2 linked regions of the Callithrix jacchus genome follow. The protein of the gene in region 1 interacts with the protein of each later gene in a biochemical or structural test. Links are inferred from orthologs where the notes say so. Each region holds a gene or a part of one and is shown on either strand. Other genes may lie near its edges.

Region 1 (5,262 bases):
TCATCATTCTGGGTCTGAGTGGAGCATCTGAAAATGCCTTGATTGATTAGCACTGTCCGCCTGGGCACAGTAAGGACAATGGTCCTTCTTACGCCCTATGTGCTGTTGCTGATCTGGTGCGTATTGTGGTCCTTGGACTGTAAGTTTTTAGGACATGGATTCAGGTAGAATTCTGGCTCAGATCTGGGGAGTGAAGTAGGATGAATTACCTGAGCAGAGGACCCTGGCTGCCAGCGACTGGCTGCAGAGGTTGGAGTTGTTGAACCGCCAGGAGCAGTTGGAGAGAGTGGGCTCCTCCCCGTTACATGAGTAGTACATCCGGCCGGCCAAGGAGTGGGGCAGCCCCTTGGGTCTCTCCACCACAGTGCCACAGCCCAGGGTCTGGCAGAGCACCTTGGCCTCCGACGTGTACCACTCACTGTCACACACCGTGTTCCAGACCCCTCGGAAGTGGACCTCCACCTGCCCCTCGCAGGCGTCAGCACCCCCAGTCAGGCGCCAGGACTGGTGCTCTGGAAGGAAGGGGCAGGAGGCAGAGTCAGGTCAGGATCCTTTGGGCTGAAATTCCTGCCAGCCCAGACCCAGCAGTGTAGGCACCAGTGCAGCCATTTGGTCTTCAGATCTTGTGTCTTCTCCCTCCTGTGTCTGTGTCCCCCGAACCTGCCCCATCTGCTCTAGCCAGCCCTGCTGGGATCTCTAGACCCTTGCTACCCTAAGTGTGGTCAGTGCAGCAGCAGCAGCATTGCATTGCCTGGGATCTCCTTAGAAATGCAGACTCTCCAGCCCTGGGCCAGACCTACTAAATCAGAACTACCCCATCTCCTCCATATCAAATAGAGGCACTGGCTGGTCCAGAGCCTTCTGGCCTCTCCTGAACAGACCAACAGCCTCCTTAAAGGCCTCCCTGCCTCGTCTCCCCTTGCTGATTGAATGCAGGAGTCCAACTCCCACTTGGTAAGAGTCCCACTTTCTTTTTCTCGCTCTGTCGCCCAGGCTGGAGTGCAGTGGTGTGATCTCAGCTCACTGCAGCCTCCACCTCCCAGGTTCAAGTGATTCTCCTGCCTCAGCCTCCCAAGTAGCTGGGACTACAGGCGCGTGACACCACGCCCAGCTAATTTTTTGTAGTTTTTTTTTTAGTAGAGACAGGGTTTCCCTGTGTTAGCCGGGATGATCTTGATCTCCTGACCTTATGATACACCCACCTCGGCCTCCCAAAGTGAGTCCCACTTTTAATGTCACCTCTTCCAGGAGGTGGCCTGCCTTAGCTTCCAGCTCGGCATCGCCTGCTGCCTCTAAACTCCACCTGACTGCCTTTCTTGGGGGCATTTACCACTTTCTCGCCTGAGTTATGTTTGTCTCAGTCTCATCTCCCTTCCTGAACTCCAGATCAACGGCAGGTAACATCTCTGCCGCACTAACTCCAGGCTTGGCGCCGGTAGGCCTATGGTGAGTGTCAGTGGTGACCATGGTTCAACGACTCCGCCCACTGACCTGAGCACACCACGCCCGCGTCCTCTTTATGGCCGCAGTAGCGCTGTCCCGGTAGCCCCGGGCAGTCCCACAGGTAGACTTCGGTCCCGGAGCAGTTCACCTGGTCCCGGTGGATGGGCCCGCGGCCGGGCGTGAAGTGCAAGCCGGGCAGGGCCTGGATCGCCCAGCCGCAGCCCAGTTGCCTGCACACCACGTGTGCGTCCTCCAGGTCCCAAGTGTCATCGCACACCGATCCCCACTCGCCACGCTCCAGCATCTCCACACGGCCGGCGCAGGGGCTGCCACCGTCCACCAAGCGCAGCGCGCGGTTCTCTAGGGGTGGGAGGGAGTGGTGGACCGTGGGGCACTCGGCGAGGAATGGAGGGTTGGGGTGATGGTTGGACTGGCAGGAGAGTTTTGAGCGGGTTGTGGACCCAGTGAGAGGGCTGTTGCCTGGTGGGCGAGACTGGGAATCCCCCTAGGGCTGCAGATAGGAAACGTAGAGATGCAGGCTGGTGGGAGGGACCAGAGACCTGGTGGGTTGGGCCTGGAGGTCAGGTTTGGGGACCTGGGAGTCACTAAGGGACCTGTGAACCTGGCAAGTTTATGTATGGGGTAAAGGGGTGGAGATAGAGGCCCGGAACGGGAGTGGGGAGGGAAGCAGCGGGCCCAGTAAGTGGGTTAGAGACCGGGTTGGCATTGGGAACCTAGGGGTGGGGCTGGGGACCAAGTGTAGGGGTGGAGTCTGGAGGCCAGACCCGAGGAAACGCTCAGGTCTGGAAATGGCTGGAGGCCGTCGTCGGATGTGGGAACCCGGTGCGTTTGCGCTGGTAGGCGGTGGGGTGGAGGTCAGGAGGGCGAGGCTCGGGTCCAGGGGCTGAAGCCAGGGGCAGGGGCTGAAGGCCTGGGCAGTGGGGCAGGTGGGGGCCAGGGTAGGGGGTGCTCGTACCTTCACAGGTGACCCGGGCCGGCCTCCCGTCGCTGCGGCACGCGTGCTCCACCACCTCGCAGAGCTGCCACTCGGTGCCGCTGCACAGGAGGGCGGGCGCCCCGGCCAGAGTGGCGTTCGCGTCGTCGGCGCTGGTGTTCCCGGCTGCGGGCGGGGGCGGCGGCTCGGGGGTCGGCGGGGCGAGCTGGGAGGCGGCCTCCGCCCCGCCGCAGCCCAGCGCGCGGCACACGGCCTCGGCGGCGCGGCCGTCCCACAGCGCCCCGCACGCGGGCTCCCAGGACGCCTCGAGCCGGACCTCCACCGTCCCGCTGCAGCCGCTGCTCCCGTTCGTCAGACGGACCCGGAGCCGCTCCCCTGGAAGTGTTAACCGGAGAACTGAGAGCGGTGGGGCCCGGGCGCGCGGTCGCCCAGGCTCTGGCACTGACTGCGCGGACCGTTGACAACGCCCTGCCTGGCTCTGGGTCTCAGCTTTCCAATCTGCAAAATGGAGCTGGACTGGCTCGTCCTGAGCCCGCCTTGATCTGGATCTGGCCTCTAGACTCCACCCCTACACTTGGTCGCTAGCCCCATCCCTGGGCCCGACCCTGTGGTTCTCCTTAGAGTCAGGAGCAGGTGGGGCTCAGGAGTTAAGGGCTAGAGGTTAAGATGGGGGACAGACAATCAGGGGTCCAGTTTGCACCAATCCTCCTCACTTGCTCCTGTCTCTAGAGGCACCTTTCTGTGAAAGAAAGGGAGAGTTCTGGGTTCAGGGGCCCTGGTTCTGTGGGTGCATGCTTCCCCCTCCCCCTCCCCCCTCCTCTGAGGGTACTGTCCTCGCAGCTGTCACATGACCACAGAACCCTGGAGGATGGGCAAGGGGCTGGCTGTGGGGTTCAAGATGGGTGGCTTCAGCTGATGGTGGTTCTCACTTCCCAAGACCCCCTTCTTTGGGAAGCACTGCCCCTTTTGGCCCAGGATTGCACCCCCAGTGCTAGCATACAGCTTTGCACAGAGTAGGTCCTTAATAAACGTCTGTTGAGTAAATCAAGGACCCGTCTGGTGGAACCCTGCCACCCCCACCAAGAGCTCTTTAGCTTGTTCTCAACAAATCCCCTTAAAATGCTCCAGCCAAGCTTTGCGCAGTGGCAGTATCATAGCCAATGAGGCCTACCTGAGGCACTATTATTGCTAATTGAACACTTTTCCCAATACCCTGCCATGACGACTTGAAATATAGTCAGCATTGGCAATTTTTGGCAGTCTCTACGGGGGCTGAATTAAAAAAAAAAAATACTCCAGCCATACCTGACCATCTGTATGTGACTTATCAGTAGGCTCTCAAAAATGGTAGTTTTAAGATCTCAAAGTGAATTAATAGTGGAACCTCAGGTGATAAGTCAGGAAGAAGTGTTGTCTGGAGTCAGGGAGCCCCCCTGGTATCCTAAATGTGTATTGCCCTTCTTTATTACCCTGGGCGACCACCTGCAGAAAGCTGACCATGGACCCCAGAGAGAATGTTTGCTTACCTGGCTCCCATAGCTCACTGTCTGCACTGCTGGTGTTGAGCCGGTCAGATGGAGCTGGAGACGGATGACCTGAAATTAACCAGCAGCAGCACAGTGGGTGAGTGAGTTCAGGTGTGGAGGCCACAGAGGCACCCTGATGAGTAGGGGGCACTTCCTGGAGCCTGTGGTGGCTATATGAGGCCTTTGGAAAGACATGGTCCTCAGCTTTGGGTGCATTTGCATTTGCCTCCCTTCCCGGTAGGGAAAGTTCTCAAACACTGGCGTTTCAGGATCCTCTGCTTTATCTATTCATTGCACACACATCTTCAGAAATCGGAGTAGAACAGGTAGGACTAGCAGTGGGCATTGGGGCCAGACCTACAAACTCACTTTGTGACCATGAATGGGTGACTTAATCTTTCTGTGCCAGTTCCAATTTGTTAGCCATGACACAGGAAAATATTGTAAGGCTGAAATGAGACAAACTATGAAATATTTGACATACAGAAGAAGCTCAAAAGTGGGAGTGTTTTAGAAAAAAATAATTTGTTTGTAGAATATGTTGAGAATTTCATACCAGACTTTAGAATAGTTGGTACATCCTGGGCTGGGAACCACTGGACTGCAAAGTGCTTTCAGACACTGAGAAACTAGCATTCACTAACGGCTATTCTATGCCAGGTATTTGCATATATTATTCTGTTTACTTTCAACAATGCCATGAGGCAGGTATTAAGCATTCTTATTTTACAGATTAGGAAAAGGAGGCTCCTGTAACAAAAATCAGTCGTCCCTGCCAAATAGTGTCCATTTGTTCCACAGGGGCTACTATCCATTCTGCCCTGGGAGGCTTACCTTTTTGGATTAACCAGTGTCTTCCTGGGTCTTATGGTTTCTGTCTGATTTAGCCAAGGAGCCCTAACAGAGATAGGAAGCTGCAAGCGAAGATGTGATGCTTATTCCTCTGGCCCCTCCCTGTGAGGTCCCTCAGGCAGGCTATGTCTCTCCTGTGAAGGACATTGTTTATTCAAGGTGACCTCTCACTGACTGTCTCCTACTGGGACCCACGGATCACTCCCTAGTTGTGTCTCCTTTGGCCAGAAGATGCTCCTAGATTTGGCCGGGCGCGGTGGCTCAAGCCTGTAATCCCAGTACTTTGGGAGGCCGAGGCGGGTGGATCTTGAGGTCAAGAGATCGAGACCATCCTGGTCAACATGGTGAAACCCCGTCTCTACTAAAAAATACAAATAATTAGCTGGGCATAGTGGTGTGTGCCTGCAATCCCCAGCTACTCAGGAGGCTGAGGCAGGAGAATTGCCTCAACTCAGGAGGTGGAGGTTGCGGTGAGCCGAGATCGTG
Region 2 (5,262 bases), on another chromosome or scaffold:
ACAATTCGTTTACAGTCCTGTTGATTGTGTCAAGGGTCTCCCAGAGTTCATAGGATTCATCTTTTCTCTTTTTTTAAAGCAGATCTACTCTCCTGCATGCCCAAATCCTTGCTGGAGTTGTTTAGCTCATGTCTCCTCTTTTTATTTCATCTGAAGTATTACTATTCAATAGAGTACAGTAGCATCTAATAGCTTTAGCTACTCGCTAGCTGATTTTTGTCCTTCCAAACTGTAAGATTCATATAATATGTAATTAAATTTTCTTATAATAAAGCCATGCAGTTTGATTGTTCCTATGGTCTTTTATGCATAAAATAATTACAGCCATTCCTACCTCAGTTAAAGACATTTTGCTAAGAAGAAATTGATTTTTATGTAACAGGGTTTCTTTGTAGTTTGCCCTAACTAAGATTAGTACTTGTATAGCAAGTAGCTATTAGCTTCAATCCGTCTATAAAAAGGTATATTTAAGCAATTACCATTACTAGCTTCTTGAGAAAATTATGTATAATTTAGTCATTTACATTGTATGCACAGAGTAATTCGGTACTTGACAAAAATGGTTAACTTGTGTCTGTGACTCTTACAGATCCTACAGAACAGGTGACAATACAAGTGCTGCCACCAAAAAATGCCATCAAAGAAGGGGATAACATCACTCTTAGATGCTTAGGAAATGGCAACCCTCCTCCAGAGGAGTTTTTGTTTTACTTACCAGTAAGTGCTTAAGTATTACTTGAGCTGGATGACGATCATTTTATCCTGTTGTCTGACTTCTGGCTGACATGAAGAATTGCACTTCATGGGTAGATTAAGTGAGGAAAAATGTTATTGCTAGGGACAAGAGACACCACCTATAAAATGTCATGTGGAAGCTTTTTCTGCACCTGCCAGTTTTTGCCTTTTTCCTCAATGTTGAGAGATTTCAAGAACAAACAAGAAAAAATAAGCTGACCACAGGAAACCATAATTGCAAAACCTTAAGGTTTAATAATCCAAATAAGCTGTAAGAATCTACTCTTCAGAAGCAGATAACTACAAAATGAAAACTGATGACAGCTTATGAACGGATGTGGACTCTAAATCTGCCCACATTTCCCTGAACACACCTCTGACCCTCTGAAACAGGGATAGTTCTGTTGCAGGTTATATTTAGAATAATGTAATGGCTGTTTTTTGTCATTATGTATAATCTTGAATGCCATTTCCTCAACTTTTCTCCCTATCATAGCTGAAGGAAATGCTATGATAGAGGATACTTTGAAAATTCCTCTCAGATGTGCTCTGCATGTCACAAGGATCTGGAAGCAAACAAGGAGAGAGCTCTGTCTTGGGATGCTTGTTTGCTCTTCCACATCCTTGTGCTTGACATCACTTTCTCCTTGAGGGAAGCCATGTGTCACTCAATGCTGCATTTTACTGCAGGGATGTGCCTACAAATTTCATCTACCACAGTACTCGGTAGTACTTAAGAATATCATTCACTACATTATTCAGAAGACTGTATAAGTAATTTCTTTATGCTGATAGAAAACTTTGTTTCCCCTAATAAATCGATTGCTGTTTTGGTTTAATTTGCAGAAGGAAGATGTAAAACTAATTAGGTTTCCACTTTGGCTATCAGGGATGACAGAGCCACATTTGCATCTCAGTTTTAGCAACAATATCTGCTGAATATCTTTCTTCGTTAACATCTATCATTCCTACATCAGCTATATTTTTCCTAGTCTTAATTTCTTTTTTATTTGTCATTTTCTTTTTTCTTCTCCTCTCTCTCTTCCTTTCCTCTTTATTTCTTTCTCATTCTTCTTATTCCTTCCTTTTATCCCTTTTGCTTTCCTTCTTTCCTTCTTTCCTTTCTTTCTGTTTTTTTCTTTTGATTTGGATATATGGCATATTTCCTTTTAAGCTGCCTCAAATATTTTTGTCAAATTACGTAAGGCATAAATCATAAAAATAAAAGACTGGACTTTTTATAAAATGCCCTTGAAACATGAGCAAAAGCCATGCTGTCAATAAATGTCACCAACAGAAAATAAATCAGCTCTCAACTTCCATAGATCCAAAATATTAACGATTTGCCCAGGAATCATGTTGGTAACACAAACTATACTCTTTTTGTGCGATCAATGAAACACATTCCCTTTTTTTCTTACCTGATAAAATGCTATCTTCATCAAGAAATACAACTGTTCTTATTGTAGCAACCAAGTGTAATCATCTGACATTTTGCCTCTATCAAAAGGGACAGCCCGAAGGAATAAGAAGCTCAAATACTTACACACTGACAGATGTGAGGCGCAATGCAACAGGAGACTACAAGTGCTCCCTGATAGACAAAAAAAGCATGATTGCTTCAACAACCATCACAGTTCACTGTAAGTCACCTATTTCTTCATCAGCAGCTTCACTTCAAAGGCTTCTAATAGCTTCATGTAGCTATCTTTTCAAATAAATTGCAGGTATATCTGTCTTAAATAATTGGTTGCAATAGATGTGATAGAGAAACAGCATCAGGATAAGCTCAACTTTTGTCCAGATTTGCACTGCAATATTGAAACTTTGCATGGCTCTGCTAATAACAACCTTTGGCAGTGGTAAATCTCCATCTTCTAAGTGTCTTCAATTTGTGGTGTCAATAAACAATATTCATATGGACCTTAAGGAAACTATATATTTTAAGAAAACATTTCCATGTTCTTGAAGTGTCCAGCTTTGCAGTTGGCCCAGAATTATCATTTATGTTACAGAATAATATTAACACCCAAACTCAGGCAATACAAAGTACTATACACTCAGTTTTGGGAACAAGAAGTAGAGACAATTAGAAGTTATTTATTGGTTGATGGTCCTCTATATAGAGGGATAGGAAATTTCTGGAAACAGAACTGTTTGAAAATCACTGTGGACATAACTTTTTAACTTTTAATTTGCTTTTAATCTCCAAATACTCCAAAAGTTATGTTTGCCTCAGAGTAACAGAAAAATACATATATAAATAACAGACACTTAACTTGAGTTCTTTATGTCCTAATTCATGACAGTCCATATTATTGATGTACCTGATGAATCATGGAAACAATAAACTAATTCATACCACACTCTGGTGACACTAGAATTCAGAGTGCTTTGAGCAAATGTCAGTCTTGCTTGGAGGTATAGTACAAACTTTCTAGTAAGTCCTTTGCACTCAACAGTACTATCAATAAGGTTTCCTCTAGACATCATCCACAACAATCCCTCTGAGTATAAAGGGACTTTAGAAATTGTCTTGAGTACATAGTTATAACTCTTTCATTTGACTCATAATACTTGAAAAACATGTGGGATCATATGTCTAAAACTCTGAGAGAGATATAAGGGGACACACTGGGGAATAAAGGAACCAGATGGTTGCTTCTGATTGTCTGATGTTGGGAGCACTCCCTTGGGAGCCCTGTAAATTTCATGGACTATTATGTCCACAGCTGGGCCATTTCTCCATTTACTCTTTGCTTATGTTGCTTGGGTTTGAATGTGTCTACCATCAGGGGCTAGTTACGGAGAAAGCAGTAGCCTCCAGTGTAGCAATATTATCCAGGCCGGTTCCATGAAAATAAAATAAAATAAAAGACAGGGAATAGAGCCAGAGGATAGAACCGCATGTGGAATAGCTCTCCGTTATCACTGTTCGTGATGTCTTTGTGCCAATAGTCAATAATCTAGTGCCTTAGAGATAGTGTGGCGTGGTTGTGTTTAAGAGATGCAAGGTACATAGGTCTCTAAAAGAAGAGGACTCTTATTTGTTTACTTGTAGATAAGGCAGAGAAGGATAGATAGCAGATTGACAAAGCAAAAAACTTGGTTACAGCCATATAGTGCCTACGTGATTAGCTGTGATGGTGGTGGGGGGAAAATTAAACAAAAGTGTGTAAAAGCCTAATTGGATTTTAGTGCATTTAATTAAATTTAAATGCATCTTGGTTTTGACAGGTAGATTGCAACATTGAGTTTTAAGGCTCTATTGCTCCTCAAAAGCTGAAAAAAAGTATTTCAAGTAAATCAACATCTGATTCTAAATTATATGGATACACAAAAATCCTATTTTTACCTACTTATCTTTGATTGCTTGCTTATTTTCCAAAAACAAGATTTGTTTCCTTTTCAAACATGTCTAAAGGAACTGTGGGTAGAGAAGCACCAACCCATTCTTGCACATGTTTGTAGAATAGACAGCTCATCAAGTCTCACAGCCTACAGATTCCTAGTTGCTGATGAACATTACTATTCTCCTGCCAATATATGCACACAGATTCTTCATCAGAGCCTTCACTGTCCGTCATTGTCCCATAAAATTGTTTTAATCTCCTCTCTGGAAAATTAGCTATCCAGCTAACAACAGCTTCTAACTCATCCTGAATAAAATTTTCATCTAAACACAATTCACCCAAATGTCCCAAGGAAACTCCACTTTTCTAAGTGATGGTACATGGTTTAATATTAATAGAAACTGAGAAAGCATGCTTCTTCCCTTCATTCATTCGACAGTAGTGTTTGAAAGTCTACCATGTGTCAGGCACTGTGCATATATCAGTGACAAACCAAGTCACAATCATTACCCTTGTGGTGCTTTCAGTCTAATAGGAGAGATGAACTTTAAAAATGTTGTTGCAGGCCAGGCATGGTGGCTCACGCCTGTAATCCCAGCACTTTGGGAGGCCGAGGCGAGTGGATCATGAGGTCAAGAGATCGAGACCATCCTGGTCAACATGGTGAAACCCCGTCTCTACTAAAAATGCAAAAAATTAGCTGGGCATGGTGGCACGTGCCTGTAATCCCAGCTACTCAGGAGGCTGAGGCAGGAGAATTGCCTGAACCCAGGAGGCGGAGGTTGCGGTGAGCCGAGATCACGCCATTGCACTCCATCCTGGGTAACAAGAGCGAAACTGTCTCAAAAACAAAAAAAATGTTGTTGCAATCAACAAATTGCAATTATAACATGTAAAACAAAGAAGAAACACGGAGTACAATGGCAAGTATTCGTACTACAGAAAAAAGATGCAACTCTCAGTGTGGCAAGCATGGTCACCTTCAGTCTGAATTGTATGAGTTTAACTTCATGAGTTGTCACCACTCATACCCAATTATTCACCATTGCAAAATCTGCCAAGCTCTCCCATCCCTTTGCCTTTGTTTATGTGACAAAAGTCCTTACATCTTCCCCTATCAAAGTTCTTCTCTACCATCAGGGGCCATGCACATATAGTGCTCCCTTTACAAAGC

Evidence for each region.
Region 2: the proteins of CD6 (region 1) and ALCAM form a complex in vitro, tested with the Homo sapiens proteins (4 studies listed by BioGRID and IntAct). The link is inferred for Callithrix jacchus from reciprocal best matches to the Homo sapiens genes CD6 and ALCAM.

What each region holds. Positions count from the first base shown.
Region 1 is NC_133511.1:118,043,135-118,048,396, reverse strand, and holds part of CD6 (T-cell differentiation antigen CD6), read right to left. Parts: intron 3,994-5,262; coding exon 3,925-3,993; intron 3,671-3,924; exon of another isoform or gene 3,530-3,670; intron 2,774-3,529; coding exon 2,420-2,773; intron 1,804-2,419; coding exon 1,492-1,803; intron 513-1,491; coding exon 210-512; intron 1-209.
Region 2 is NC_133516.1:96,593,760-96,599,021, forward strand, and holds part of ALCAM (CD166 antigen), read left to right. Parts: intron 1-589; coding exon 590-717; intron 718-2,245; coding exon 2,246-2,378; intron 2,379-5,262. UniProt on the Homo sapiens protein: Cell adhesion molecule that mediates both heterotypic cell-cell contacts via its interaction with CD6, as well as homotypic cell-cell contacts. Promotes T-cell activation and proliferation via its interactions with CD6.